Linked DNA regions of Struthio camelus. The protein of the gene in region 1 purifies or fractionates together with the protein of each later gene. This does not show direct contact. Links are inferred from orthologs where the notes say so. Each region holds a gene or a part of one and is shown in the gene's direction. Other genes may lie near its edges.

Region 1 (6,842 bases):
GAGTATTTTGTAGCTCGCTCTGTGCACGTGTCCAACTGAAACAGTTTATGTAGATGGTCCTCTGAAACGAGAAGTGCTAATGAGAAGGAGGATTATGCACAGGGAGGTCTTAATTTCCTTTTTACAGGAGAAGGGGACAGATCAAATACTCCACGCGGGCAAGAGCTTTACCTCAGCAGTTACCCTTCTGTAAAGTTAGCTGTGGCTCCCCTGGAGAGTAAGTTAGCGGATGTGTTCCCACCCCCAGATTTGTTACCTTAGTGCCTTTCTTGTGTCTGTACAACTCCTTGGCTTTCTCCGAATCCGCTTTAAAAAGACGAAAACAGTACATTGTTGTTAATACTTTTTCCCCGAACATTAGTTTATGCTTGGAAATATAAATGAGTTAGTCGCAGTGCAACTGAGGTAGTAGAGAGCAGCTGCTAGAGACCAGGAGATCTCAGCCAAGCTGGGGTGCTCCCTACGGCAAGCCCTGGCCGGTGCGCAGGAGATGCATGCGTTGCCCTTGGGGCTGACTGGTTTGAGCAGACTACTGACTGCCCTCTACTCCCTCCCTCCTTCCTTCCCCTACGCGTCCGAGTTTCTCAGGCTCTGGGTCTGTTCTGGTACGGGGCCTGCTTAAGCAGATCCTCCCAGGAGAAAGGAGGCAGGACCTGCTGTTCAAGGCTCTATGAGAAATTTGCAGCAAAGAGACATGGGGGCAGGTGGGCTGCAGGAGGGGTAGCACCCAGCTCACCAAATCTTACTCTAGCATCATTGCTGCAGACCCAGTGGATCTGCTCGTGCTATGCCTGCTTAATTAGCCAGGGTCCTTGTGAGTATACATTTCTGTGCTGTATGCTAGAAATCACTCCATTATCATCCTTCCTTGTGTACTCCACATCACTTCTGCCCTGTTCAGTTTGTAACAGGGTAATTGGAGGTTGCAGCTTCTTTTGTTTTGTTTCAGGGGTGCTAATGTGTTTTGAAGTAACAATGCACTTACCGTCTTTTCAGTATGCTGAATGGTTTGTACCCAATGTAGGGGGATCTAACAGAAATAAGCGGTTCACCATGAAGTGTAGCGGTTGTATAAACGACCAAGCCAAAAAATCATAACAAATAATGAACGTTCATGTTCATAGAAGGCAGACTGCATTATGGGTGAGGAAAAGCTATTTTGCAAGAAAAGCACAAGCAAATCAAATTACTCATGCAAGAGGTATGATGATGGAAGCAGTGTTTTACAAAGGGACTGACAACATCAGCCATGAGAAAGGTTCAGCCAGCTGTTGCTAGGAGGTTTGAATTGTACATAGCCTCTCTTTTATTATAAAAGAAAAAAAAATGAATGGTATTCCATTCTAATGGTCAAGAATTTAATCTGTGATATGTTGGTTGCTAACTCAAAGCACAAACAAATCTGGTTTTGGAAAAAATGGAATAAGTAGATTGCTTCCAGTCCCTGTGCACTTGCCTGAAAATTCCTCACAGAGGGCAAATTAAATATTAAGATCCTTGCACACTCTCTAGTGCTTAATTTTGCTGTCCTTGCCCAAAAATGAAGTTTTCTGTTGTGCAAAATAACTATGACACATTTAAATCCCGCTTACTCCTTCAGACAAAACTCCCTTTACAAGCAGTTCTGCTTTAGGCAATCTTAAATTCTCATGATAAGATTTCTATTTCTGAAGAAGAAGTTGAAGTCCTTGAGGTAGAGAAGCATGAACAGCAGGTGACAAGTGGCAGCTGTACTTCATAGCTGTAATGACAGGAAGAAACCTGATTAAACCTGTTTAAAATGTAGAATTTCTTCCTCTTATTCTCCTGTTGTTTTCACTCATTTTATTTCCTACATTGCTTTCAAAACTTAAGTAATACACAGAAAACAAGTGAAATCCTTTTAATGTTTATTCAACAAACATGCATCAAAGGCTGCTTTTTAAAGGGAACTGCGCGGAACTCTTTAACATTCACTATTATGGAGCTTGATTTTATTCATTCAGATGGTAAAATCAAGGAGTGCAGCTCTGTGCTCTTGTCATGGAAGAGAAAGGAAGGAAAAAATGGTAGTTTGCCTTCTTTCTGCCATCTGGATTTTGAACTAGTTGTGGCATAGTGCACACACCTTAGTAAGAGCTGTCATTGACAGCAGGGTTCCAGTGATACTGGTTGTCTCTGGTGTAGTGTTTCAGTACTGCGTGGCCCTTTGGGCGTTGTGCATGTCCTTTCTTGAACCTAGAGTGCCTCTTAAAATAGAGCGTATGAAAAAAGAGCAGTATAAAGCTGGTGGCACTATCTCTCCAGCCTGTCACAGTTGCTGGAGCAGTGTATTGGGACAGCATGATGGAAAACATCTTCCCAAAGAGCTACTAGGGCAAGGCTTTTGTTTCCTGTGATCGAATATTGCTGCCCTGGCCAGTCACAGTTCTCTGGTTTGACTGGAATATGAGCCTAATTATCAGTCTGTTCCTGAAAATCCCTTTGACAGGAAATGTGACAAGACGTTGACCCTATCAATGTCAATTTAGTCCTCCCTATCTGTTTATTCAGTAGCATTTCCAGAGAATGAATTTCTTAAATGGTCCCTTAATAGTCCTAAATCAACTGATTTTGATGTAATTTGTGTTAGAGATGCTGTTCCATCTTCATGTAAAAAATGTAGTTTTAGCAATCAGTTTTTAGGGTTTTTTTTTTTTTTTTCTAAGCAACTCCGTTGGATTTTCAGCTTCTACAGTGAAGCTTTCAGTTCTTGCAGAACCCAAAGGGAATGCCAGTTATTCATTATCTAATACTGTTCAGTTGTTCTGGATCTAATATTTTGGTGTTGGCAAGAGATGGAACTATATGCAGTTGCCAGCAATTAAAGGATTTATGCTGAAACTAAATTGAACAAAGGCAGCATGCAAACATATTATTGGAAAGCCTGTCTCTCAGTAGATGGAATACTGCGCAAATTCTTAGGCAGACTGTGTTTGTTATTAGTAAAAAACATGGAGGTGGTTGGAAAGGTTGTTATGGATACTAAATACTGATTTAAGACAATTTCATAGTATTCTTAAAGGACTACTTCCTTTCAGAAAGAATTCCAGAAAGCTATTACCACTGTTTTAAATGACAGTGAAGATAGATAAATGTATACTGAGCAGCTGGGATGCAGACTGGTTAGTTTTTAACAGGGATGACCCTGCTGATAAAATATGCATCTAAGCAGTTACTGTACAGACACAAGCACTTGATGATCTTGGATTAGAATTGCTTTGATTCTGGGACTTCCACTTGAATAACAGGGAAGGACACCAAGCAGTTCAGACGAATGACTGCAAATATATTTCACCCTAATAGTATGGACACCTAAGCTGTGGTATCCTGTAAGTGAAAAGACTGATGATACTTGAGTAGCAGCAGTAACATATGCCAACAGTGAGAGGAGCCCTGCAAAAATGGTAGTTGCAGAACACTCACGTATTGATGAGATCTGAGACTTTCAGGTGCATCATCTTGAATCACGAATACTGAATCACAACTACTAATGCTGTATCCCGGTTAGTCCCAACTAGTTATATGTGTGTTCAGAGCTGAAACGCTGGCTGTCTTGTAAATGTCATTAAAGTAATCGATAGGATTTTTCTTCATTAGGTTTGCTGCTTTAAGAGCTGGTGAATGGGGTTGGGGAGGTGGGAAATGTAGGTTGTCTGGTTTTGTCATGTGTCAATCCTGAATTTATAAGAACAAGCTGAACTGCTGGCGTTCTGGTTGTGACAAAAATACTAGCTTCAAAATAGAAACAGACCTACCTATTTAGGTTTATTCATTTCTCTAGTTTACTTTAAGCATTAGATTGCTTTCCGTTCTGTTAAGGGCTTTTCACTACAACTTCATCTCCACAAATATATAACAGAGGCTCAGACAATCCACTCCCGCTAATCCTTCCACCATTCAGGGCAGCTGCACTAAATACCAGGAACACAGAAGCTCTGGAATACTTTGCAAGTGATGGTATGTTCAGACTTTTACTTGTTATAGTCCATCCCATACGGAGACAGTCTCAGTGATTATTACTAGCTGTAAAGGGCGTTGCAGAGGCCAGTGATTAATTCCTTACTTCCTGGTTTGCAGAGCTTTGACTGTAACTCAGCTCAGTGTTATGGAAAAGCAGCTGGCAAGAGTATCTCCGCATTAATTAAATTTTAGAGTACCTAATTGTAGCTGAGGACAAGCATATGCTGTCAGTGTTGTTCCCATGAACACAGCCTTTCCTTTCTACCAGTGAGCACTGCTTCATCTTGTGAACTTACTGTGACTTTAGTCCAGATGTTTCTCTGCCAAGAGACAGAGAAAAGAGTGAAATTGCAATATCCAAATTTAATCAAAAGAAAAGATAAAGAATTGGAATCAGCATACTGAAGACACCTTAGCTAAGAACTTGTAGTTCTTCTAATTCTGGTAGAACAGAAGCGACTAAAGAGAAGCCTGTGGAATTTCATATGTCAGAGCTCTTGGCAAGGATGGGAAATCTGTGAAAAGAAACTGCAGAACCTCTGCTGGGTTACGTGTGCTGCAGTGCTTTGTGAGATCACTCACAATCGAAGGCTGCTAGTCTGTTAAAAATGAGCATGAATGGCTTGCTCTGGGCTAAAGATGAAAGTAATAATCCATGCACATCTTTAGTCTGCTTTTTCGAATATGCCTAAAAGCAGAGATAGAGGAGATATGTCCTTTTGAAATATTCCTAGAAATACGCCTTTAGTGTTTTACATCTATTGCTTTTATGCTGCCATCTCAAAGTGGTCTCTGTGTACAGTACTGCAAAGGTTTGACAGTTCTTAAATTTTGGTCATGTGCTTTCACTACTGTTTTTTAAACTTAAGAAATTTGATTCGAGACCTTTACCTTCAAAGTGTCCCAGTTCTTAACCTGCTTTGCTATCTGGCCACTTGTGTCATTTATTTGACCTATTGGTATAAGGAATCGTACTGTTACTGGATTGATTTCTTGTCTTGCACTGTTTTTAATCTCCCCCCCCCTCCCCTCCCCCAAAGCTCTTGTGAGATAGAAGGAGAAGGTAGGGTAATGAGACATGAATTCAGGGATGTCTAAATGTCTTAATGAAGTCTGGCACTCAAAAAATAGATTAGCTGGGAAATCTTCTGTATTGGAAGTCCTGTAAGTAATTTTTGTTAAATACTAGCTTACATAAGATATCCATCATCAGTATCCATTTTAATTGGCTGATGCCAATTGTTTGGCAGTGTATGGGATAAATCAGATGACTTGGTCTTGCACCTAACAGATTGATCCTCCCACCGCTACTAGAGCTTCTCTGTTGTCACCAGCGGCAGAGAGAAGCGAACAAGCCGAGCTGCCCAGTTACCCGTAGGACCAGCCTTGTGCCGGTTGCTGTCAGAGTGTGCACTGCCTGCTCTGTGCTTGGTCTGTGCAGAGAGAGCTGCCATTTTTCCGGAGCACTTCAACTCACATTTCTTAGCAACGTGCTGCTGAAACTTGTGAAGGAGGAAAGGGGGAATGTGTGGGGTTTTGAAGGGAATTCTTGTGCTTGAAGTAAAGTAATAACGTATAATAGGAATTTGTGTAAAAATTGCAGAAGATGTGGTAGGCAGTCAGGTGGGTTTCTGCTGCTCAGCGTTCCACAGGTGCTGTAAAGCCGTGATCTGCCAAGTGTGGTCCTCCGGATCAGTTTGCTATTCCAGTTTACCACATGGCAGCCCAAACACTCGGATGAACACAACTAGCATCTGGGCTGCTTGGGGCAGGAACACAAATGAGTAGATAGAGGCAGTGGTCAAGTGCTGCTGCCCTTTCTGGCTGCCCAGGCCCTCCTCTTGCATATCAAGTCATGGTCTAATATTGTAAGTGGGATTTCTGGCAAAAAAAGTGGCTATGCTAACACAGTCATTTCATCTACCAGCAGAGCCAGCTGTGATCACTGCATAAGTAAATGACTGTAGTTCGTTAGCGATTATGGTGGCATGCTGGACTGCCGTATTTGTTCAAGTGTGTAGTAACAAATGCAATGGTTTCTGATCAATAGAATCTGTATGAGCTTTAACATCAGGACAACTGCTGGGGCCTAAAAGTAGCCTGTAACACTTCCAAGTATATTTGCCAGTGTATCATCCACAGCTGCCCCACAGTCCAGCCTTGTTCCCTCACCGCGGTCTATAGATCAAGTCTTCTGGAAATGGGAGTCTTATCAGTGCAGCCCGCACTAGCGCTGCTAATACTGACACTCTCCTATGCAGCTCTGTGTGCATTTACTGGGAACTGGGCTTTATCTTTAACAGATATGCTATTGTATCCATATTAAAATGTACAGAGAACTATTCTGAGCTTTATAGCTGATCACCTTCATATGTTTGGGCTGCCTTGGTGTGGAACAATACTGACATTCAGTGGTTGATTATACTTGCCACTGTTGTGTGACTATCCAGGAGATTTTGGAGGGGTTTAATGTTCAGCACTGGCTAAACTCGGAACACATTTGGTTAAACTGGATTAAAGCAATTGTGTTAAGGTCCCTTTATAAGAATGCTGTGCTCGCAGTATAAAAGTTGTCTGTCTTTTTTTAACAAAGATAGAGATGAATTTGATCCATGAAAGGTATAGTGGAAACTTGCAGTAGTACTAGTTTGTAGATTTGTTTCCTTTCCTACTCCTAAGCAAACTGACAGTTACAGTTTCCAAGTTAAACTCCTTTTATGCACCGTGTTGGCTTGATAGGATTTCTCCATCCATGTATTGACTGTTGCTCTTTGTACATCTACCAGCAAAGACTGTGCTCTTTACAGGAGGTATTTAAGAGATGGCAAGGACCCCCTGAAGGTGAGCATGTTTGTGTCCTG
Region 2 (7,657 bases), on another chromosome or scaffold:
GTGCAGGGAGGCCTGGCGGTCTGGGGCCGTGCAGGGAGGCCTGGCGGTCCGGGGCCGTGCAGGGAGGCCGGGCGGTCTGGGGCCGTGCAGGGAGGCCGGGCGGTCTGGGGCCGTGCAGGAAGGCCACCATCTTCCTCTTGGCTGGCTGCTGGAGCCCTGCTTCCTGCGGGGGTTCGGCCTTGGCCGGGGCCGCTGCCGGCCAAGGAGGCGGCGCGCGGCTGTGGCTGCAATTTCCCTTTCCAGACACGAGCGTTCGGAGAGGCCACGGACGAATCAGCAAGGAGGGTTACCACGCCATGAGGAGAGAGAGGGGGAAATGCGAAATCTACAGGAAAAAGGACGGATTCGACCTCAGCAGTTTCAAAAATAAAGTTCGGGGCGCGATGAACGCTGAAGCCAAATATTCTTTCGTCACCAACAACTGCATTCATTTTGCTCTCTACCTCCTGGACTTGGTGCATTTCTACCTGAGCCTGGTGAGCAGAGGGGGCAAGTGGCCGCTCCGCTGCCGGGGCGGCAACCATCCCGCCAGGGCGCCCGCGCGGGCCGCGGCCTGCCGAACGGCGGCATCCCCCGGCCCCCCGCCCAAGGCTGACGGCTGCCTTTCCCCGGCAGGTCGAATTGCCCTCGGCCGACTGCAGAGAGGACGGCGGGGAGGTGAGCGCGCCGGGCCGCGGGCGCGGGGCGGCCCCGGCTCCGACGCCGGCTCACGGGCGCCTCGTCTGGCAGGGGAGCTGCCGGGCGGTGTGAGCGGGTGTCTCCCCCCCAACCCCACATCTCGCCCCCGAAGACGTTGGAAGAAACCGCGTGGCAAAACCGACGGCGCGCCGCTTTTGCTTCTCCGAGCCCACCTCGGCGGGCTGGCAGCCCCGGCCGGCCTCGCGCGCCGCCGCGGGCGCCGGCCGTGGCCGTGGGGCCGGGCCTTCAGCCAGCAGCTCGCAATCGCAGGCTCGGCCCGAGCCCGCTTCCTCTGAAGAGACGCGGAGGGGAAATTCGCTTGGGGAAACACCCGGGGCTTCCCGCAGAAGAAGCAGCGTTAACCGCCACGCTTCGCTCTATTTTTCCGCCTGGGGTCTGCCGCCGGTTCCCCATCCCGGCCGGCCTTCCCGGCGGAGCCGGCCCCGGGGAGATGCCTGCGGGCGCCGTCCCTCTGCTCGGCACCCGCCAAGGCGGTTTTCTGCCCGTTGGGAGGGTTTGAAGAGGTCGCGAGGACCCAGCGCCGGCGCTGGAGGGGTGGCGGAGGGCGAGGGCCCGGCCCGGCCGGGGACGCGGGGACGGGGGTGGCCCCGGGGGGGGACACGGCAGCCCCTGCGCCTTTAAGGGGCGGCAGCGGCGGCGGCGGCGGCGGCGGCGGCTCCACATGATCCTGACATCAGCCGCATCCCGGCATCCCAACCCGCCGCATCCCGCGCCGCCGCCGCCGCCGCGCATCCCGCTCCGGCGCCGCAGGCCGCCGCCATGGCCGCCGGCCCGGCCTACAGCGAGGAGAAAGGCGGCTCCTCCAGCCTGGGCGAGCCCGAGTACGGCCACGACCCGGCCAGCGGCGGCATCTTCTCCTCCGACTACAAGAGGTAGGACGGAGGGATGCTAAGGGCGGCGGCGGTCGCCGGCCCAGCGCGGCAGGCCGTGGCCCACGCAGGCCCCCGCCGCCGCCTCGGCTGCGCTTCCCCCTCCGCTGGGGGCGAAGGCCAGCGAGGGGCCGAGGGGCGTTTGGGGCAAAGGCACCGGGTTTTGGGGCGGGTTGGGAGCAGCGGCTTCTTCCGAGGCGGGCTGCGCCGGGCGGGTGCACCCAAGGGACGGTGGTGGGCGCCCCTGCGCCGAGCAGCCCTCCAGGACGGGAGCGGGAGCATCGCGGGGGACGCAGGGCTGCCCGTGCATCCCCCCAGCCCTGCACCCGCCAGTGGTGTCCCCCAGCCCTGCACCCACCAGTGGTGTCCCCCAGCCCTGCACCCGCTGGTGGTGTCCCCCAGCCCTGCACCCACCGGTGGTGTCCCCCAGCCCTGCACCTGCCAGTGGTGTCCCCCGACCCTGCACCCACCAGTGGTGTCCCCCAGCCCTGCACCTGCCAGTGGTGTCCCCCAGCCCTGCACCCGCTGGTGGTGTCCCCCGACCCTGCACCCACCAGTGGTGTCCCCCAGCCCTGCACCCGCTGGTGGTGTCCCCCAGCCCTGCACCTGCCAGTGGTGTCCCCCAGCCCTGCACCCGCTGGTGGTGTCCCCCGACCCTGCACCCACCAGTGGTGTCCCCCAGCCCTGCACCCGCTGGTGGTGTCCCCCAGCCCTGCACCTGCCAGTGGTGTCCCCCAGCCCTGCACCCGCTGGTGGTGTCCCCCGACCCTGCACCCACCAGTGGTGTCCCCCCAGCCTTGCACCTGCTGGTGGTGTCCCCCAGCCCTGCACCCACCAGTGGTGTCCCCCAGCCTTGCACCTGCCAGTGGTGTCCCCCAGCCCTGCACCCGCCGGTGGTGTCCCCCCAGCCCTGCACCCGCTGGTGGTGTCCCCCAGCCCTGCACCCACCAGTGGTGTCCCCCAGCCTTGCACCTGCCAGTGGTGTCCCCCAGCCCTGCACCCGCCGGTGGTGTCCCCCAGCCCTGCACCTGCCAGTGGTGTCCCCCAGCCCTGCACCCGCCGGTGGTGTCCCCCCAGCCCTGCACCCGCTGGTGGTGTCCCCCAGCCCTGCACCCACCAGTGGTGTCCCCCAGCCTTGCACCCACCAGTGGTGTCCCCCAGCCTTGCACCCGCTGGTGGTGTCCCCCAGCCCTGCACCCGCCGGTGGTGTCCCCCAGCCCTGCACCTGCCAGTGGTGTCCCCCAGCCCTGCACCCACTGGTGGTGTCCCCCCAGCCCTATACCCACCAGTGGTGTCCCCCAGCCTTGCACCTGCCAGTGGTGTCCCCCAGCCTTGCACCCACTCGTGGTGTCCCCCAGCCCTGCACCTGCCAGTGGTGTCCCCCAGCCTTGCACCCACTGGTGGTGTCCCCCCAGCCCTGCACCCACTGGTGGTGTCCCCCCATCCTGCACCCCCCCAGCAGTGTCCCCCAGCCCTATACCCACCAGCGGTGTCCCCCCAGCCCTGCACCTGCTGGTGGCGTCCCCCAGCCTTGCACCCACCCACGGTGTCCCCCCAGCCCTGCACCCACCCACCAGCAGTGTCCCCCAGCCCTGTACCTGCTCGTGGCATCCCCTGACCCTGCACCCGCCTGCAGTGTCCCCCAGCCCTGCACCCACCAGCAGCATCCCCAACCCCACACCCACCAGCAGTGTCCTCCCAGCACTATACCTGCCAGTGGCATCCCCCAGCCCTGCGCCCAGCGGTGGTGTCCCCCAACCCTGCCCCCACCAGCGGCATCCCCCAGCCCTGCGCCCACCAACGGTGTCCCCGTCCCCCGGGTGCTGCCTTCCCCGGAGCCCTTCTGCAGCGGGCAGCGCAGGGAGGCCGGCAGCATCCCCCCAGCCCTGCTCACGCCCGTGGTGGCAGCCTCGGGCCGGAGATGCTGCTGGACCTGCCGTGGGTGGGGGGGCGGCTGTGGGTCCTGCCCACCGCGTCCCCACCGGGACGGGGGTGCCCAGCCAGGCCTCGCAACACGCACCGGAGGGGGACACCCTGCCGGGTTCGCGGGTGGTGCCGGAGCCCGGCCGGGACGAGGCACGGGGCAGGGAGCAGGGAAAGGGCCCATGCGCCACCCCGGCGCCCAGGAGCGACGGCTGGGGTGCAGCCGGGGGACCCTGCAGCCAGTGCCATGGGGCAGCTCTGGCTGGACTAATTAGCACTCCTGGATGTGGCCATAACAAGGCGCGTAGTCACTAGATGGTGCTGTGCTTTCTGTCCAGGGATGGCGTGTCCACCTGTGTCCTCCTGTCCCTTCACAGCTGGATGACACCCGGCCCGTCTCCGGGAGGTGGGGGCTCAGGGCCGCTGGCGGGGCCCAGGGGTGCCCCAGCTCTTCAGTGCGGCGCCTCGGCCGGCACGCGGGGAAGGTCTCGGGCTGCCCCGGGCTCCTCGTCCGTCCCGGCATCCTCTCGGGGATGTCAGGGCCTCCGTGGTGCCCCACATCCTCCACCACCCGCTCGTCCCCTCTTATGGGCTGGTGACTGAGGTGCCCAGCTAGGGCTGGCGGTGGCTGAGGGAGACCACGGCCGCGGGCTGGGGGCTCTGTGCCCCCACGAAGCCACTCGAAATGCCCACGGAAGCAGCTCCCTGCGGCACCGTCCCACCTGGCGAGGCAGCAGCCTTGTCCCTGGATGCAGGACGGGGCCCTGGGTGTCACCTCGGGCTCAGGGTGACGGGGGGGACCCTGGGGCAGGAGGACCTTTGCACAGTGCCAGGCCCCGGCGACGGCCCGGGAGCGGGGCAGCCGCCAGCGCTGAGGCCTCTCCAGCGAGTCCCCACCGAGCGCCTTCCCCCACTGCAGCCCGAGATGAGCCGAAACCCTGGCCCTGCCGGGCGACGCGCCGTTGGCCGGGGCCATCGCGGCCGCCCTCGCGGCTGGCACGAGAGGGGCCGCCCGGCGCCGCAGCATCAGGTTGCAGGCGGGCGCAGCCGGGAGGAGGAGCGGGGCCCGCGGCATGCCAGAGAGCCCAGCGGGCCGGCAGCGGGGCCACGGCGCCACCGGCGCGGGGCCAACGGGCGGCTCGGAGGTGCGTCGGAGGGAGCTGCGCCCGCCGGCTGCCCCGACCGAAGGTGATGCTGTCGATGGCGCCGATGCAGAAGCTGCTGCAGCAGCTGCCGGCCAGCGCGGGCGGCCTGGGGAGAGCGGCGGTGGGCGCCGCGGCCGAGGAGGCGAGGAGCCCCGTGCTGGCCGCCGACGGAGGGCAGCAGGCCTGCTACAGTGCCCTGCGAGCCGACGAGCTGCAGCTGCTCAAGGGCCCCGCGGCGGAGAGCGGCGCCAGCGCCGGGCAGCCGCAGCCGCTGCGGTAAGGGCCCCCGCGAGCGCCCGCCGGGCGACTGCGAGAGAGATGAGCCCCGGGAGGGAGGCACGCGGGAGCGCGGGCCGGGCGCCGTGCCCGCGAGGCTCTGCGGGATGGTGGCGGCGGGGGCTCGTGCCGAGCGTCGTCCTGCCAGGGAGCCCTGGTGCCGCTGGCTCCAGGCGGGTACAACCCCCGGCGGCCGGGGTTTCGGGGACGGTTGAGTGTTTTAGGACGTAACGCTTCGTTTAGCGACCGGTGTGCGCTCGTGGATGGCGAGGACTGACGGAGAGCGTTCAGCTCACTGTTTCTCCAAATGCTCAGGTGCTTTTGGTGCAAATCGGTGCTGTTTTGGGAAAGCTCCCATCCCCACCGGCCAATTTGGGAAGGGGCCATTGCAGTTGGATGTAGCCTTGCAAGCCTAGCGGTGCCATGTCGCCAGGTCAGCTCGGGGACCGCGGGGACAGCTGTGCCAGCCAGCCTTATAAAAAGAGATGTTGGTGACAAGGAGCTGACAGTGCCCCGAGTGACAACCTCAGCCCATGCGAGTCGCCCCAGCAACGCTCCCAGGGCCGCGGCGTCCTTTTCCATGTGCCTGTAACTGAATTCCTGCCCAGATAAATATTTCACGAGCAGCTGTGGGTTGGGTTCCCAGCCTGGCGCAGGCACCTCTCCTGCCCCAGCCTGACCATGGGAAGGGGGTAAAGCCAAGCTAGTGCCCTCTGCCTCCAGGGAAACCCTGAGCCAGGCTGGGAGCAGGTTGGAAGAGGGAATAAAATGGAAAACAGGACTCTCCTTCCTGCGTTTCCACATGCCTGAGGGGGAAGCTGTCCCACAGCTGAGGTTCTCCTCGATCTGAGCACCCAAGGGTCACTCTGCTACCCTTTGGCAAGTGCTGGCAGCGGGTGCTGGAGGCTGTGGGGTGCCCAGCACGCACATGGGGACCCTCCAAGGTGGGCACTGGGTGACAGCCAGGGCTGCCAGGGACAAGAGCCAGCTCCTCAGTGCATGGGGTGCTCCACAGGCATGATGACCTCAAGGAGATGCTGGATAGCAACAAGGACTCGCTCAAACTGGAGGCCATGAAGAGGATTGTGGCGGTGAGTTTTGCCGTGGCACGGGCTTGGCGACTCCATGCTGTGGGCTCGCTCAGGCTGCGTGCCTGGTGTCACGCTGTTCCTTCCTCCCTAGATGATCGCCCGTGGGAAGAATGCCTCCGATCTCTTCCCAGCCGTCGTCAAAAATGTGGCCTGCAAGAATATCGAGGTGAGGCAGATCTCAGCCGCTGCATGCATGGCCCGTGGCAAGAAACTGCCGGGTGACCCCGCTGCGGGGAGAGCAAGGGGCTGACACCCAGCGATGTCCTCAGGTCTGGAGTGGTCCCTGGAGGGATGCTCTTTGGCATTAGGAAGGCTTTGGGGAGGGCTAGCGTGGCCTGAATTTGGGTGGGATGGAGGCACCAGGTGATGGCAGCTGTCCTGGTGTGGCAGCTGTCCTGGTGTAATCCTTGGGGGAGGCCCTGTGCCGCGGGATGTCTGCCACCTTGGCCACCCTTTGCCACGCGGCCCACAGGTGAAGAAGCTGGTGTATGTGTACCTGGTGCGCTACGCTGAGGAGCAGCAGGACCTGGCCCTGCTCTCCATCTCCACCTTCCAGCGAGGACTCAAGGTAGGCGATCTGACTCCTTTTGGGGGGCAAAATTGGGGCCAGGAGGCTGCAGTGGGGTTGGGCAGCCCCGGGGGACTTCCAGCTATATCCTTCCCCTGGCAAAAGCCCCATCCCGGAGGGTTCTGGTGGGGCCCAAGAGCCCATCCCGACTCACTGCAGTGCTGTGCATGTCTGCTGCAGGATCCCAACCAGCTGATCCGTGCCAGTGCCCTGCGGGTCCTCTCCAGCATCCGCGTGCCCATCATCGTGCCCATAATGATGCTGGCCATCAAGGAGGCGGCATCGGACATGTCCCCATATGTGCGCAAGACGGCCGCCCACGCCATCCCCAAACTGTACAGGTAATGGGGGGCTGTGGGCCGACTGGGGCCCCATGGGGTGGCGTGGTGATGCTGAGGACAAGGAGAACTCGTTTAAAGATTTGTACCTCTTCCTGCAGTTATATTGCAACATTGGGGTAACAGTGCTGGGGTCCTGCCTGCTTGGCATTGGCGGGCAGACGGCTGGGGAATGGGGTAGTTCGAGGCAGCGCCAGCCCCATGGGACTGGCTCAGCTGTGACGTGCTCCTGTCCATGCCGACCCTGCTCTCCCCTCACAGCCTGGACTCAGACCAGAAGGACCAGCTCATCGAAGTGATCGAGAAGCTGCTGGCAGACAAGACCACGGTGAGTGGGTAGCCCCATCTCCCCTGCTCCAAAACGCAGGGATGCTGCCCTCCCCAGTGAGTGCCCAGTGCTCCAGCTACCCTCAAGCCTTATGTCTCCAGCTGGTGGCTGGCAGTGTGGTGATGGCATTCGAGGAGGTCTGTCCTGAGCGCATCGACCTCATCCACAAGAACTACCGCAAGCTCTGCAACCTGCTCATCGATGTGGAGGAGTGGGGCCAAGTGGTGATCATCAACATGCTGACACGCTACGCACGCACCCAGTTCCTCAGCCCCAACCAGAACGTGAGTGCAGCCGCCCGGTGCCGCAGCCGTGCCAGAGCCCCTCCAGCACCTGGGGCCCAGCACCTGCCGCTGGAGGAGTCTCAGGGGTCCCCAGACAGCCCCCAGAGCAGGCAGTGCTCCATCATCCCATGTCCAG
Region 3 (7,893 bases), on another chromosome or scaffold:
TTGCATACAGGCTTTCATTTCTGATATTTTTGTATTCTTTCAATGTATTTGTATTTTTGAAATCTGATCAGGTCAATATGTTTAAGCTGCAAATGTTTGTGACCATTGCTTCACATATCCACTGTGCAAGGGAGGGCTGGTCAGGCAACTCATATGACGTTATTTCTGCTTTCCGATTGGCCTAGTTCAAAGTACTTTCAAAAACCAAACTCATCTAATGTGAATATTCATATAAAGAGACATTTGCGCTGGTGTTTGTAATCCTTCCTGGATGAGCTTTGTTGCAGGTGGAGTTTGCCGTTCAAATATTTGCAAAAAGTTAAAGGTCCGTACATCCCGCTGAAGTAAATTTGCTTCACACAAACGATCTCAACTTTTGTGTGTGTCTAGAACCCACCTACCTCTCCAGGTAAGGCTTTTCGCTTTAAAATAGGGCATAAAGCGGGATAGAGGAGAGAGCACAAAGAACAGGCGCCGCTCAAGAGAAGGGCGGGAGGCGTTACCGCGAGGGGAGGCGAGAGCGCGCCTGTGAAGCAGAGGGATGACGAGGGTCTCGCCGAAAGGAGGCGGCGAGGAGGGTCTGAGGGGTGCGGCGCTCAGTGAAACGCCCTCTGAATGGCGCGGAGAGGGCGAAGTGAGCGTTTTTACCTGTTCTCGTCCTCGGAGGGCTGGAGGACGTTCCCTGGGACGAGCCCGGAGGGAGGCCAGCAGCTGGCACGGAGGTGAAGAGGGCTGGGGGACGCCGGCGGAGGAGCCTGCGGCCGCGGGGACTGACGCTCACGGCCGAGGCAAGGACGTGCGTGGGGCGCCTGGGGGCGGCACCACCATCGGGCTGGTCGCACCCACGCTGCCTGGCGGGGCAGCCCACCCGCCCGCCCACCCGCCCGCAGGGGCTCGCGTCGTGGCACGGGTAACAGCCTCTAGCTGAACCGTTTCCATAGGGTCTTATCTAGTGCAGTGCATTCGCCACCCGCCGGTGCCGAACTGGGACGTTTCATGGCCAGAGCAGCTGAAATTATTCCCTGACGCTCGGCTGAGATTGCTGCCATCTAAGCTGATTTCTGTGCTGCCTTTGTAGCGCCATGCATGTAGCAGAAGACAGCTGCCATGTTTCCCTTCAGCCAGCTTGCGTGGAGAACTAAAGCACCTCCTTCCTCTCACCTTTCCTTACAGCCGGGTTTCGGGGCCTCTTGTCATTCTCCTTGCTCACTTCCGGACTCTCTAATTTGGCCTCCTCCTCCACGAAGCACGGTGTCCCACGCTGGGCACAGACTCCAGCTGGGCTCAACGCATGCTCGGCGGGCTCGTGACCGTCCCGCCTTGCGTGCGACACGCCGAGGGCGGCACTTGCCCTTCGTGCAGCAGCCTTGTGCAGTGGCTTCCTTGAGGCAGAGGTGGTGATCCTCTTTGCAGCGCTGCTTTTGCTGGTGGTGTTATTCTTCAGTCTGTGTATCTGATTTCTCCTTCCTGAGACTAGCTCTTTGTACTTCTCTTTATTGTACTTCGTCTTGTTGATTTTGGACCATGTCTTCAATTTGTCGAGATCCTTTTGAATTCAGAGCTTGTCCTCCCCAGTGCCTCTGGCCCCTCCCAGTTTGATGTCATCTGCAGTTTTTGTAAGTGTGTTCTCTACTCCATCGTTCAAGTCCTTAATGAATATATGGACTAGAAACAAGCCCAGGACAGACCCGTGGGAAGCGCCCACCTCGTCTGACGCACAGCCGCCATTCTTTGGTGCAGTTTGTCAACCAGTTGTTTGGGTGCAGCCGAACCATCATGTGATGTTTTTGTGTCTGCAGTGCTATTTGTTAGTTTGCTTATGAGAACATCACGTGGAAGAGTGTCAAAAGCCTCCCTGAGATCAAGATGTATGGTATTTACTGCTCTCCCTTCATTCACGAGGCCGGTTACCCTGCCACAGCAGGAAGTCAGGCTGGCGTTGACATGATTTCTTCTTGAAAAATCTACACCGACTATCTTTTATCACCGTATCATCCTCTGGGGCATGTGCATTGATTGTTTAATGATTTGTTCTAGTTCACGCTGGGAGCCAGGATGATACCATGTCCACAGGGATGATTCCCTGTGCCTTTTTTAAGAATGGGTTTCGTGCTCACCCTTCTCCAGCCCTTTGGGCCTTTCCTCCTCTGGGAGCTTTCTACCAGAGCCCTCATGGCTCCGCAAGGATCTTGGCTAACTTCTTGTCTGCTCTGGGTGGTTTCTCAGGCCACCCTGACCCAAACCAAATGCACCTCCATATCCTTTCACCTGGCTCTTCTCCGTGCTGGCCTTCTCCCTTTGTTAAAATTAGTTGTTAAATCTCTGGTGACAATGAACCTTTTCATATGAAGACTGGAGCAAAGAGGCTTTCTATGTGTCCTTGGTTATTTTACTCCCTTTTCTTGTTAAGTAACAGATCTTTATTCTCCTCTGTCTCCCCCTGTCTTCTACTACGTTTGTACAGCACATTGAATTCTTTTTCTTGTTGCTTTTTATGTCCCTTGCTAGTTGTAACTCATATCATACATTGGCCTTTTTGATTCTATCCCTACATGCTTGTGCTATTCCTTTATATTAATCTTGGATCATCTGCCCTTTGCTGCTTTCTTTTTGATTTTCTAGTACATAAAAAGCACCGGATCCAACTGCAATTGTCATATGCTACGCTTTCTCCCTTTCCTCTTCAAAATACCTCTTAAAACAGCCTAAGAACGAGCTCATTCACAGATGCTAAAAAATATTTGTCAACAGGTGGTCACCATCCAGTGGTGGAGTTTCTAGAGGGGCTCACAGGGATTAGCTCTATGTGTGATCCCCTTCTCTGTTTTGGTTGATGATCTAGAAGTAAATATGAAACGTTCACTGCTATGGCTTGAGGATAATCCAAAGGCTGGCAGCATGATAAATAGCAGTCGTCCCGCAGAGCAGCCCGGCTCGCTCAGCCCATTCAAAGGCGCTCCAATGTAAGCAGAAGGATGAGATACAGTGGAGAAGCATTGATCTGGGGCGGAGCACAGGCCACACATGCAGCGGAGGGGGCGGTGTCCGGGAAAGCAGGCACTGAAAAGCATCCAGGGTCAGAGGGGACCACCCCGTGGGACACTATGGCAACCGGGGCTGACGGATCCCGGGACCTTTCCCTGGGGAGTGAGCTCAGTACAGAAAACTGCTGGCAGCTGAGGTGTCCTCCCATAAAAAGGTGTTCCCTGAAGGGCAGAGCTGTGGGGCACCAGCAGCGCCGGGTGGCAGGAGCGCTCAGCAGTCCGTGCGGTAGGTCAGCTGGACCTGTTGGGTCAGGACGCAAAGCGCCAGCTCCCAGTCCGTGCAGCCACAGCAGGCCGGGAGCAAAATCCAGCCCTTGCCGCGAGACACCCGGGCGTTCTGGCGGTGCCCAGGCCCCGGGCAGGGCGGCAGTCTGCGCAGGGGTGATGGCGGTGCACGTTGGCTCCCCCAGGCTCGCAAACACCACCACGCTTCCCTCGTAAATTCACCTGTTGTTTCGGAGCTCTGGTTGAAATGCGGCGCTGCGGCCGTGCCCGGGGCGGGCGCTGGGAGCTGGGGCGCTGCCTGGCTCCGTGTGCCGCGCCGGGGGCCTCAGGCGGGGAGGCCCGACGCCAGCGCTGCGCCTGTCTCCGCCGATGAAAGCGCATTGTAAGCGCGCAGCATCCACCCCTCAGCGGGGCGAGCCGCGCACAAAGGCTGCCCAGAACGAGCGGCTTGGCGCCCGCAGAATCGCATTCTTCCCGACAATGGGCTCCCCTCCCCCTGCCGGCCCGCAGCAGCTCCGATCCGTTTATCCCCGAAACAATCTCAGCCCAGCTGCAGGCTGGGGGAGCGGCGGCTGCGGCGAGGGAGGGGGCAGAGCCCTGTGCTCCTTCCTCCACCTCGACCGGGGCGTCGCTCCCGGCTGCGCCGGGCCCAGTCCCCCGGTCTGGGTAAGGGCTGCTGCTCGCCGGCGGGCCGGGACAGCGGGCTCAGCCTCGCGGAGGAGGGCAGAGCCGTCGCCCGCCGCCGGAGGGGCAGGGAGGGCCACGACAGCCCCGCGCCGGGCTGTCTGCCGCTGCCCTCCGACCGGCGGAGGCGGCCCAGACCACGCTGCGGCCCCGGCAGAGCGGGGGCGACGAAGGCGGCCTCGGAGCCTGCGCGGGAGGCGAGCCCACCGCCGCCGCGGGGCGGGAAGGCCTCCCGGCCCGGGGCAGGGCGTCGCGCCGGAACACCGCGACCAGGCCGCCGCCGCCGCCTCGGCCGCCGTCCCGCCGTGACCCCTGACCTCCCCGGTGACCCCTGACCCCGCCCGCTGGCCCTTTCAGGGAGGGCGTGGCCTGGCCGGGAGGCCCCGCCCCCGCGCGCCCCGCTGCCCGCCGCGGCGTGGCCCCGCGCGGCTCCCGTCGCCGCGGCGCTCGCGCGCCCCCTAGCGGCGCAGGCGGGTGCCGCCATCGCGACGCTGCCTGTCGGGGCTCTGTCGCGACAGGCGACGGGAGCGGGGCCGGGCCGGGCCCGCGGGGGGCCTGGCCTTGCCGCGACGGGGCGGCGGCGCCCCGGCTGCTTCTTCCGGGGGAGGGGGGCGGAGGGCGAACCGGCCGCGGCGCTCCCGGGCCTCGCCGCGAGGACCGGACCGCACCGGACCGGACCGGGGGGCCGCCGGCCGCCGCGGCGGGGCTCTGCCCCGGGGTAGCGAGGCAGGGCCCGGTTCCCGCAGCCCCGACGGCGGCCTGCCGCGGCCTGCGGTCCCGGGGGGGCCGGGCCCGGGCCGCCACGGAGCCCCTGGCGCGGGGCTGGCCTCGCTGCCCGGCCCCGAGCGGGGCCCAGAGCGCCGGGGCTGGCGGGGAGGCGGAGCTGGGCACCCGGGGCGGGCGGCCGGGCCCCGGCACCGCCCCGAGGTCGCGCCGCCTTTCCGGGGCGGGCGAGGGGCTTCCGCGGGGGCGGCCCGGTTCTGCTTCCGGCCCGGCCTCGGACCCGGCTCCGGCCCCAGCCCCGGCCCCGGCCCCTCCGCCGCCGGCATGATCAGCGCTATCCTGGTGTTCAACAACCACGGGAAGCCGCGGCTCGTCCGCTTCTACCAGCGCCTGGTGCGGGCCGGCCGCGGCGGGGCTGGGGGACCGGGACCGGGCCCGTGTGGAGCCGGTCCGGGTTGGGGGGGGGGGACGGGCCCAACGTGGGGTGTGAGGGGGAGGCATGCTCGATGTGGGGCTGGCGGGGCTGGCCTAGTTCGGGTCTGAGGGGGTGCGGGCTGCAGTCGCCCCCCGGCTGGGCCCAGTGCAGGGCTTGCCGTGGCCCCGGGAAGGGTGCCCGTGGCTGGGGCGATCGCTGCGTGTCCGTGGGGCTGAGGGGTCTTGCCCACGCTCGGCTGCAGGCACCGCTTCAGCCCAGCGCCCCAACCCAATCCCTCAGGATGTCCCACAGTCAGGTCATGGGGGCTGCCCTAGCGGCTGCTCCCGTGGTGCCAGGGCTGCAGGGAGCTGTGGCCTCCCCTTCGCTCCGAGAGCTGCCAGCTCACCGTGTCCCTCAGGCTCTGCTGGCCCCACAGCAGTGGGGGAGAGCAGGGGTGTGGGTGCTCTGTGCCTTCCCAGACGGCAGGCCCATGGGTCTTTGCTCTTGCCTCGCTGCAGGCAGAGGAAGTTCAGCAGCAAATTATCCGAGAGACTTTCCACCTGGTCCTCAAGCGGGATGACCACATCTGCAACTTCCTGGAGTGTGGCAGGTAACCCTCACGCCCCTCGCTGCCTGGAGGGCAGCTGTGCCGCAGGTTCCCCTTGGCTGGGAGGAGCCGGGCTGTGTCCTCCCTCCTGCTGCTGGAGCCCTTCCTTGTGTCTCTGCAGCCTGTTTGGTGGCTCGGATTACAAGCTGATCTACCGCCACTATGCTACGCTGTACTTCGTCTTCTGTGTGGACTCCTCGGAGAGCGAGCTGGGCATTCTGGACCTCATCCAGGTTGGTCTCTCTGGAGTGAAGTTTGCTGCCAGAGGGAGGCCACAGTGAGCATGCACACAGTGGAGCCCACCCCGCACCAGGACAGCGGGTTGCTGTTTCTTCTCTGCCCTTGAGCTTTTGGCCGCTGCTGGGCGGAGACACTCCCCAGAGCAGCTGGATGTGCTGAGATGCAGACGCTTGCTCTGCCAGCAGCAGGACAGTGTAGGTTGTGAGTCCCTCCTGCATATCCTGTTACAGACCCTCCCTTCCAGGCTGGTTGAAATGAGTGTGAAAGGGGCTAGACATCATGTTTCAAGAGCGTGTCCCTTGCCAGGGCCCTTGCTGAGCCCCTGCTGGGTGCAGTTGTGGACAGTGCAGGAGACATCCCTGAATCCAGGAGTCTGGAGGGGATGTCAATGTTAAAAGGGAAGGTATTAGAAGCGAGAGCCCCTGGAGAGCCTTGCATCAGCAGTATGCCACTGATGTGAGGTATCCTGTGCCCTCTGCGTGCTCCACCTTAGTAGTACCAGGAGCTCTGACAAAGTGCTTAGCCATGAGAGGCTGTTGGGTGCTTTCCTCTACTGCCAGAAGGTCCAGCCTTCTAAACCTTCCAGATGCATTTACATGTCTATAACAGCTTCCTGGGAGTGATTGAGAAACTGTTCTCTTGTGAGCTCAGACAGGGGAGGGTGTTGCTTGACATGTGTTAGCTGATACATAACTCAAAACTTGTCTGCAGGGAAACGCTGGGGAAAGTCTGAATAAACTTATTAAAAAGTGAATTTTTAAAAATTTTATTCAATCACTATGTGGGCTTCTAAAGGGACCTCTGCTAAATCCAATTAAAGGCACATGTGAGAGTGTCTGCATAGCAGTTTAATGCAGTTTAGTTAATGTTAGAATTATGCCTTTGGTTACTTTTGATGAGTTTTGAGAGTATTCCTCTGCAGATCAGTCTCTGATTTTTTTTTTTTTTTTTTTTTTACAAGTTCCTCTTTCTTCCCTTTTAAGTTTGAAGCCACACCAGCACGTGACAGAGTTAATATTTTGTCCCATTGGAGCAGGCTTTTCCTTTTGGAGTCATCTTCCACACTCTTATCAAACTCTGGAAAGTAGCTCCATGGCAGTTACCATTTAAATCACCTTTTCTAGCTTTTTTTTTTTTTTCAAAGATCCTAAGCTAGAAATGAAGTTTTCCCAGCTGGGAATTGTCTGTGGAGAAGAGTTCCCAACTGTAGAGCGTTTCACGCTTGTCCTGTTCATGTGTCCTACTGTAACATATCCAACATCTCTCAGTTGTCCTTCCTGATTCCAAGAGGGCTCATGCCCTGCTCGGATCACCTGCTGTGATCATGTAGTTCCCATATTTCAACCCTTTCAAGCTGTTCTAGATGACTGCAAGCCTGGCCCTTGTGGAAGAACACAATGACTAGCCATTGTCCCAGTCAGGGCCCTGTGACTGCAGTTTATCAGAACGTTGGCACCTGTTTTTTTCCCCCAGAACGGCCAAGTTCCGTGTTTCAGTGTGCTTTACCCTGTGCCAGGCTCTTTGGACTTGGGTTCAAACCACATCCTTGAAATTGGAGGTTCCGGTTGCCCTGGGTAGTACCAGGAACAACTGAAGACAATAGCAACTGGGTAGAAGTAACAGTTCAGAGGAAGCGTGACCCACTGCTGGAGGAGGAGCCCTCCGAGTTTGCTGGTATTACACCAGCTGTGCAGTCCGTTCACAGCAGGCTCAGCCAGGGCCAGGCTTATGTTCCAGCCACATGCCTCTTGCCAAGACAAACTTTCTCCTAGGGTCTGGAGCTGATGTGGGCTTTTTGATTTGGTTTCTGTGGTTTAGTGCGGGCTGGCACTAAGAGCGTGTCTGGTCGTCCCAGCACTATTGGGCAGTGCCTGTGCGGAAAGAGGCCTCCTTGTTTGGCTGCTCGCTGCGCGTATCCTGCTCGCAGCTCTGCCTAACCCCCTCAGCCTGCTCTG
Region 4 (6,962 bases), on another chromosome or scaffold:
TCTTCTACAATTCATCCTCCATGGCCTGTGAAACCTTCCTCTATGGCGGCTGCCTGGGCAATGGCAACAACTTCTACTCAGAGAAGGAGTGCCTGCAGGCCTGCAGGACAGAGGGTGAGCGGGATAGTCTGGCAGCACGCTCCCTGGCCAGCCGCAAGAGCTCAGGGCTTGGGGCTCGGGGGAGCAAAGCCAGCCTAGAGGGAGATGGGGAAGGAGAGTGTGGAGGATAGAATCACAGAATCACAGAATGGTTGAGGTTGGAAGGGACCTCTGGAGATCATCTAGTCCAACCTCCCTGCTCAAGCAAGGTCAAAGCGTCCCACCAGGGACATCCTGGTGGGCTGAGGGCATCATGGAGAGAAGGTGCAGGAAGTGCCTTTGCAGAGGCAGCAGAGGGAATTGGGGGCATCTGAGAATGGTCTTGCCCAACATCTGTGTGGGAGGTACTGGTGTGCACCTGGGGTCAGCACAGCACCCTGGGCCTGAGCCCCTGGGACCTGGCCTGCCCTCAGAGCTGCCCTGTGTCCCTGCAGCTGCCTGCAGGCTGCCCATCGTCCAGGGTCCCTGCCAGAAGCTGGTGATACGCTGGGCATTCGACGCAGCCCAGGGCAAGTGCATCACTTTTAACTACGGAGGCTGCAAGGGCAACGGGAACCAGTTCTACTCGGAGAAGGAGTGCAAGGAGTACTGTGGAGCTCCCCCGCTGGGAGGTATGGGCCAACCTGCCCACACGGCACCATCTCTCCCTTCCATACCACCGCTGTCATGCTTGCAGGAAACCAGGGCAGCAGCCGGGGGGACCTGCTTGCAGCACCTCTGGTCATGCTCTCCTCTGGGTCTGGGTGTGCTGGGTCTGCCTGGGTGTGGGACAGATCAATCCAGGGTCTGGGATGGGTCCATTCTGGGTCTGGGACAGGTCCTGGGTCTGGGATGGGTCTATCCTGGGCCTGGGATGCATCTGGAACAGGTCTATCCTGAATACAGAATGGGTTTGTCCTGAGTCTGGAATGGATCTGGGATGGATCTGTCCTGGGTCTAGGATTGGTCTGTCCTCAGTCCAGGATGGGTATGGGATGGGTTTGTACTGCATCTGGGATGAGTCCATCCCGGGTCTGAGACTCTGATGGACTGAGGAATACAATCATTTTTCTGCAGACAGTATCAAGTAGGGGGATTATAGAGGCTGCAGAGTTGCTGAGACCAGGTTTGGACTTCAAAATATCTTGATGAAAGGGTTCTGAGCAGGCTTCAGTGCAGCAGGGAGCACTGAAGCAACAGCCTCTTTGCAGGGGATACCCAGCATAGCACAGGGAGAGAAGAGCAGCTGAAAGATTTGGCAGGGTTGGAGAACCTCACAACAAATGAGCACCAAACTGGGGTCTCAGTTTGGGGTTTACCCTCCATGCGATGCTCGCTGGACCCTTCTGCTCTAGTTGGTACAGGGACTTCCATGTCAGAGCCTTCTGAGAAGTGGTAGAGTGAAGTGCTGGGGAGCAAGGCCAGGGCAGACATGGAGTCTCCATCACTGGGGGATTTCCAGAACGGGAATCTATCAGGACGGTTGCTCCTGCTGGGGGATGTTAATGCATCCCCTTGCCCCACCAAGCCCAGCCCAGCCCATGCACCCAGTGGCTGCCCTGCCTCAGTGTCAGCATACATGGCCCCTTCGCACCTCAAACCCATCCGCCTGTGTCCACCTGAGGAGACACAGTCCTCCAGAGCCCATGGTAACAGACACTGTTCGGTGCTCAGGACAGATGGAGGAGCAGTCAAATTTTCCTGAGTGTAGCAGCGGAAATCTTAGTGCAGAGAGGGGTGACCACAGGGATGTCTGATCATGGCCAACCCCAGCTGAACCTGCTCCCAGTATGCCAAGTATCCTGGAGCTCGGAAGGCTGCAGCACACCTCTGAGCTGAGCTCCCATGTGGGGCTGCTCCCCTCTGTGTCAGGCACTGCCTCAGGGCCACTGTGCCCCACTGCAGGGGCTGCATGAGCATCGATGGGGGCCAGGAGCCCAACACCCTCAAGTGCAAGGGGGTGCATGGAAGGTCCCTACTGCTTCCCAACCATCCCTGATGGCAGGGACAAAGTGAGCAGCACACCATGGGGTCCACAGGTCTGGCTGTCACACCATGCACTTCTCTTCTTGCAGAGGAAGAGGAGTTTCTGCATTTGTCGAACTGATGCGGGGCAGAGGACGAGCTGCCTGCACCCAGCGCAGGAGCCCTGGCCACGCAGGAAGGCGCTGGGAGCAGCCCTGGTGCGTCGCCTGCACAGCCACGGCCCTGGCCAAGCAGTAAATGTCTCTAACGTGACTAATGAGCCCAGCGTGTCCATCCGGAACCTGCAGAGGTGCAGGGAGGGGTGGGGGTGGGAGTTCCAGGAGGGTCTAGGTGATGCTGTTGAATCCTCATTGACTTCCCCTACTGGGTACCCCCATCCTGTCAGGGCTGCTGGCTGACCCGCACTGAGCCTCTGCCTCCTGCCCCTTTCTCGGTGCTGGGGTAGCCAACGTGTGCCGGAGGGGGCTCAGGGCTTCCTGCTGGATGGGCTTCAGCCCCCCCGTCTCCCAGGGGCTGATGACAGGCAGCTGGGAAGGGGGCAGCGGGCACCTCCCTACAGGCAAATAGTTCATATGGCAGCACAGCAGCAGCAGCAGGAAGGGCCCAGCGGGACTGCAAGCCCCCCGCAGCTGGCACTGTTTCTCCCTCAGTCTCACTCCTGCCAGCAGGATGCTGGCGAGCATCCCGGAGGACAGATGCAGGGAGCATGCCGCCAGCCAGGAGCACAGCAAGGGAACTAGCTGGAGCCAGGCTATCCTGCTCCTCCCCAGGGCGCCCTGCTCCATGCTGCCCCAGGTCCTGGGCAGGTTATGATCTCATGGGAACTGCAGGCGGTACCCAAGGTGCCCCTTTGCCCAGGGGATCCTTGCAAGCCCAGGGCAGTGCCAGCACTCGCTGCCAGCCTCCTCGCTCGGGGTGCTGATCTTAGTGATGTTCAGTCCCAGGTCAGCATTGGGCGAAGTCCCCAAGCCATGTCATCGGGACATCGGTACCTCTGCCCTACACCCAGGGCCCTGGGTCCTTATTGGGGGCTGCACCCTCGAGACCAGGTCCCAAGGACCCGGGGCACGCACATAGGGAAGCTCCGGGCCCTAGGGTGCTCACAAAGTCGAGCGCCCCGGTGGGGGCTGCTGTCCCCTTTTACCCTCCGATCCTGCCGTGTCCCCCCACATCACGGCCCCCTCCAGTACCCCCCAGGCCATGACGAGGCATCTCCCCTGCCCCATCCTGGGCCCTGCAGGAGGGTGGGGACGGGGAGCGGGGCGGGAGGTCAGCAGGGGGTTGGGGGGGCCACAGTAAGGGATCACAGGGAGATGATGGGAATCGCAGGGGGTCATGGGTTTTATGGGCAGTTATGGGGGTGTCATCGGGGGTCCTGGAGGGGGTCATAGGAGAGCATTAAGGGGAGTTAGGGGGTGCCATGGGGGGCCCTGAGGGGGGCACAAGAGGGGGTTATGGGGGGGTTATGGGAGGTCACAGGGGGGCCCTGGGGGGTCACAGGGGCTATGAGGGGTTACAGGGGGTCATGGGGATCACAGGGTCACAGGAGGGCTTATAGTGGCTATGGGGAGCCAGGGCGGGATCCTTCGGGGTCACAGAGGGGATTATAGGGAGTCACTGGGGGCTACGGGGGGTCACTGGAGGCCGTTGGGGGATCACGGCAGATCCGGCCGGTCGCAGGGGCCCTGAGGGATCCGCGGGGGGGGGGGGGGCCCTCGGAGGAGCCCCACAGCCGATGTGCGGTTCAGCCCGCAGGGTCCGGGGCCGCCCCGACGGCGGCGAGCACCGGCACCCCCGCGGCCGCCCGGCGGGCAGCGCCCCCGGCCGGGCGCGCTCCGCCTCCCCGGCTCTGCTGGCCCGCGCGGGCCTCCGTAGCCGGCGCTACCGCCTCCCGGCCCCTCCGCGGCGAAGCGGAAGAGGCAAGATGGCGGTGGCGGCGGGAGCCCCGCGCCGCCTCCTCTCTCGGCGCCCGGCCCCGAGCGGCGGGGCCCGGCGGGGCTGAGCCGCCGCACCGGCCCTACCGCCACTCGCAGGAGCTTCTCCCCGCCACCCTGCGCCGCCCCAGCCGCGGGCCATGCCCGGCTAGCGCCCCTTCCCCCAGGCACGCGGCGGGGCCCCAGCTGAGCCCCCTTCCCCGCCGCGTCGCCCCGCCGGCGGCTCGAGCCCGCAGACCTGCGCCCTGCCGCGCCCCGGACGCCCCTCATGGCCCCGCCGGCCCTGCCCCAGCCCTGACTTGCCCGTGGCCCTGCCAAGCCGTGACCTTTCCTATGCCCCCCCCGGCGCCGTCTTGCCCCTGAGCCCCGGAGCCGCGGCCCGTTCCCTGGAGGTGTCTGAAACGCCGGTGGTGGCGAAGGTGGGGGACCAGGAAGATGTTCTCGGCCCTGAAGAAGCTCGTGGGCTCGGACCAGACTCCGGTCAGAGACAAGAATATCCCTGCAGGGCTGCAGTCCATGAACCAGGCTCTGCAGAGGAGGTTTGCCAAGGGAGTCCAGTATAACAGTGAGTCGGAGCCCAGCTCCTGGGGAGTCACTGGCGGGGGACAGAACAAGCCCCGGGTGGGAAGCAAACCTCAGCGGTGGGTCCCAGCCGGTGCCCGGGGGGGCCTGTTTCCGGGGGCCCCTGTGGAATTGTAAAATGCATATGCTGTTTGTCTTGCGGGGTGGTGCTTTTGCCAGTAGTTGAAAGCCAAGTATGCAATTAAGTGTTAGAGCATGCAGAAACGTGGGCAGAGTAAGGGATGGTGAACTTTAAGTTTTTGTGCCAGACTTAGGAACCTGTGGTGCAGCAGTGTCCCCAGTCAGCAGGAGATGTCCTGAATGCCTGCATGCCTTCCGCTGACTGTGATACAAGAGAGAATTTCTTGTAAATCAGTTTTAGCCAGTTGAAGCATCAGGAGCATTATTCCCCCAAGTGTGTGGGTGACCTTCTCTACAGCTCTGGATAAGGCTATTTACAATTAAGCTCTAATGGTTATATGGTCAGGGACTTTTGAAAAACTCTGCCTTGTTAGGCTTTAATAAAAGGTGAGTGATGGGCCCCTTTAACTACCTTGATACATAATTTCATTATGATTATCTCTTTCTGTAACTTATACATTTGCTCTTTTTTCATAGAACACTTTCAGAATTATTTTCCTTTCAGTATTGAGGTGCAAGGTTGCCTTTTTCCCTTGAAGCTCAGTAAAGGTTATTTCTAATATGTTTCAGGAAGGCACTGCAAGTATGTGAAATACATCCCAAAGTAACAATTGTGATAAGGAGGAGGATATATATGTAATCCTTGCTGAAAATAGACATGCTGCTTGCAGTGCTCTTGTGTTATTAGCTTGTCTGTATGGGTCTGTGCAGGCAGTGAAGTCGAATTGCAGAAGACTGAGAAATGAGCAGTTTGGATTAAGACTGATTTGTAAACATGCTACAGAATAGTTTCTCTAAACACACACATGTTGGGGGAATAGAGATTATGCTATATCGTAATCTGAAACTGTACAGGAAGGGAGAACTTAGCCCTTCAGAGTTTGGGGAGGGTTTTTTAGTGTTATCATGATAGACTGCTTTTGAATTGATGTGTTTTTGAAGCTCTCTACTCTAGTAGGGAGAACATTTGGTGCATTTATCCAGATCACATCTGTGGAATATGCTAAGAATAGTACTTAATTTAGAAAGTAGGGTCTTAGCAAGCAGTCGTGAATATGAACAGAAACACACCGTTTCTGTTAAGAGACTTGATCCCTAATGAAAGATTAGGTATGAGGATGAAGCTATTATACCTTGGCATATAGTGCTGCATTGTCAACCGTATACCTGGAAAATCGCTAGTTAAAGACTGTTGATCTCTGCAGAGGCTTTGTGGAGCCTACAGACCAGAGTGCATTCATGTGCTTACTGTTAAGTGTTTAAGATCAGGTAGCTAATGTCAACTCCTTTTTCTTACATAATTTGAAAGTTGATTTTTGTGGAGGTGAATGTTTGTGCTACGTACAATAAAGATCAACTGCATCTTGCTGGCGCAAAAATAGAAGGGGATAAATCTTTGTGTGTTGACTAACTGCATGGTTGAGTGACCTGTGTGTATGTATACCTTCTTATTAGTAATACAGCAGGGCCAAAAATGCAAACAGCTAAGCTACAAACGGTAGCTTGGGTTGCTTTTTGTCTCGTTACAGAAAGCCTCTGGAAAGCTTTTTGTTTTGTGCCCTGTCTTGACAGAATTTGTGTTCTAATTACTGCTTTTATATCTATAATAAAACTACAGCTTTCTGTCACTGCCCTAAGGGAAGCTTTCCAATCTCCATAGTAACTCTTCCCAGTGATGCTATTATATAATATTTATAGGAGATACAGGCAGTCTGCTGAAGAGTTTTGAAGTACCCTACATAGCCATGGCAGTTGATAAATAGGATGGGTTCCAGCATTTTGAAGGAATGTCATATACAAGTGCCATTGCTAAGGGAAGGGCAGAGCTGCAAATCCTGTGTTATCGTCAATGCACCTTTTTTTAGCAAATACATGAAATTCAGTGTGACATTCAACAGGGGAGTGCAAAATGTTTTTTGTAGTCATCTTTAATACACACAGATCTTTAGAACTCTTTCTTTTTCCTGCAACTGCATAGATCTAAATTAAAGGGTGCCGCAATGACTGGTTTTACAGAAATGTTTCCTTTACTGTCATGAACTGAAGCGTGTTTCCTTACCAGAAGTATTTGTAGTATGCCGAGATTGCCTCGGATTTCTTACCGATAAAGCGGGCAGCAAATGGACAGGATGTGGGCCTTATCGCCTGGCTCGTGATGCCGGCTTGCTGTGCAGTTCAGAACAGGCAATGCTGTGCCAGCCTTCACGGCTATCAAGTATATTTCATAACCAAACAAACGCCTATTTGAGGTGAAAATGAAGA

What was found.
Region 2: the proteins of AP3M1 (region 1) and AP3B2 purify together in Homo sapiens (co-immunoprecipitation; 3 studies listed by BioGRID and IntAct, counting the BioPlex papers as one, with this or other methods). This does not show direct contact. The link is inferred for Struthio camelus from reciprocal best matches to the Homo sapiens genes AP3M1 and AP3B2.
Region 3: the proteins of AP3M1 (region 1) and AP3S2 purify together in Homo sapiens (co-immunoprecipitation; 3 studies listed by BioGRID and IntAct, counting the BioPlex papers as one, with this or other methods). This does not show direct contact. The link is inferred for Struthio camelus from reciprocal best matches to the Homo sapiens genes AP3M1 and AP3S2.
Region 4: the proteins of AP3M1 (region 1) and RABL6 purify together in Homo sapiens (co-immunoprecipitation; 3 studies listed by BioGRID and IntAct, counting the BioPlex papers as one, with this or other methods). This does not show direct contact. The link is inferred for Struthio camelus from reciprocal best matches to the Homo sapiens genes AP3M1 and RABL6.

Annotation. Positions count from the first base shown.
Region 1 is NC_090948.1:25,427,965-25,434,806, reverse strand, and holds the start of AP3M1 (AP-3 complex subunit mu-1), read left to right. Parts: upstream 1-3,838; 5' UTR 3,839-3,975; coding exon 3,976-3,978; intron 3,979-6,842. UniProt on the Homo sapiens protein: Part of the AP-3 complex, an adaptor-related complex which is not clathrin-associated. The complex is associated with the Golgi region as well as more peripheral structures.
Region 2 is NC_090953.1:25,247,720-25,255,376, forward strand, and holds the start of AP3B2 (AP-3 complex subunit beta-2), read left to right. Parts: upstream 1-4,654; 5' UTR 4,655-4,682; coding exon 4,683-4,912; intron 4,913-5,927; coding exon 5,928-6,003; intron 6,004-6,094; coding exon 6,095-6,169; intron 6,170-6,475; coding exon 6,476-6,571; intron 6,572-6,751; coding exon 6,752-6,912; intron 6,913-7,170; coding exon 7,171-7,237; intron 7,238-7,338; coding exon 7,339-7,521; intron 7,522-7,657.
Region 3 is NC_090953.1:675,397-683,289, forward strand, and holds the start of AP3S2 (AP-3 complex subunit sigma-2), read left to right. Parts: upstream 1-4,879; 5' UTR 4,880-5,000; coding exon 5,001-5,069; intron 5,070-5,609; coding exon 5,610-5,701; intron 5,702-5,819; coding exon 5,820-5,931; intron 5,932-7,893. UniProt on the Homo sapiens protein: Part of the AP-3 complex, an adaptor-related complex which is not clathrin-associated. The complex is associated with the Golgi region as well as more peripheral structures.
Region 4 is NC_090961.1:13,366,844-13,373,805, forward strand, and holds the start of RABL6 (rab-like protein 6), read left to right. Parts: upstream 1-3,957; 5' UTR 3,958-4,433; coding exon 4,434-4,563; intron 4,564-6,291; exon of another isoform or gene 6,292-6,962. Other genes in the region: protein AMBP, read left to right, coding at 1-114, 534-710, 2,154-2,185. UniProt on the Homo sapiens protein: May enhance cellular proliferation. May reduce growth inhibitory activity of CDKN2A.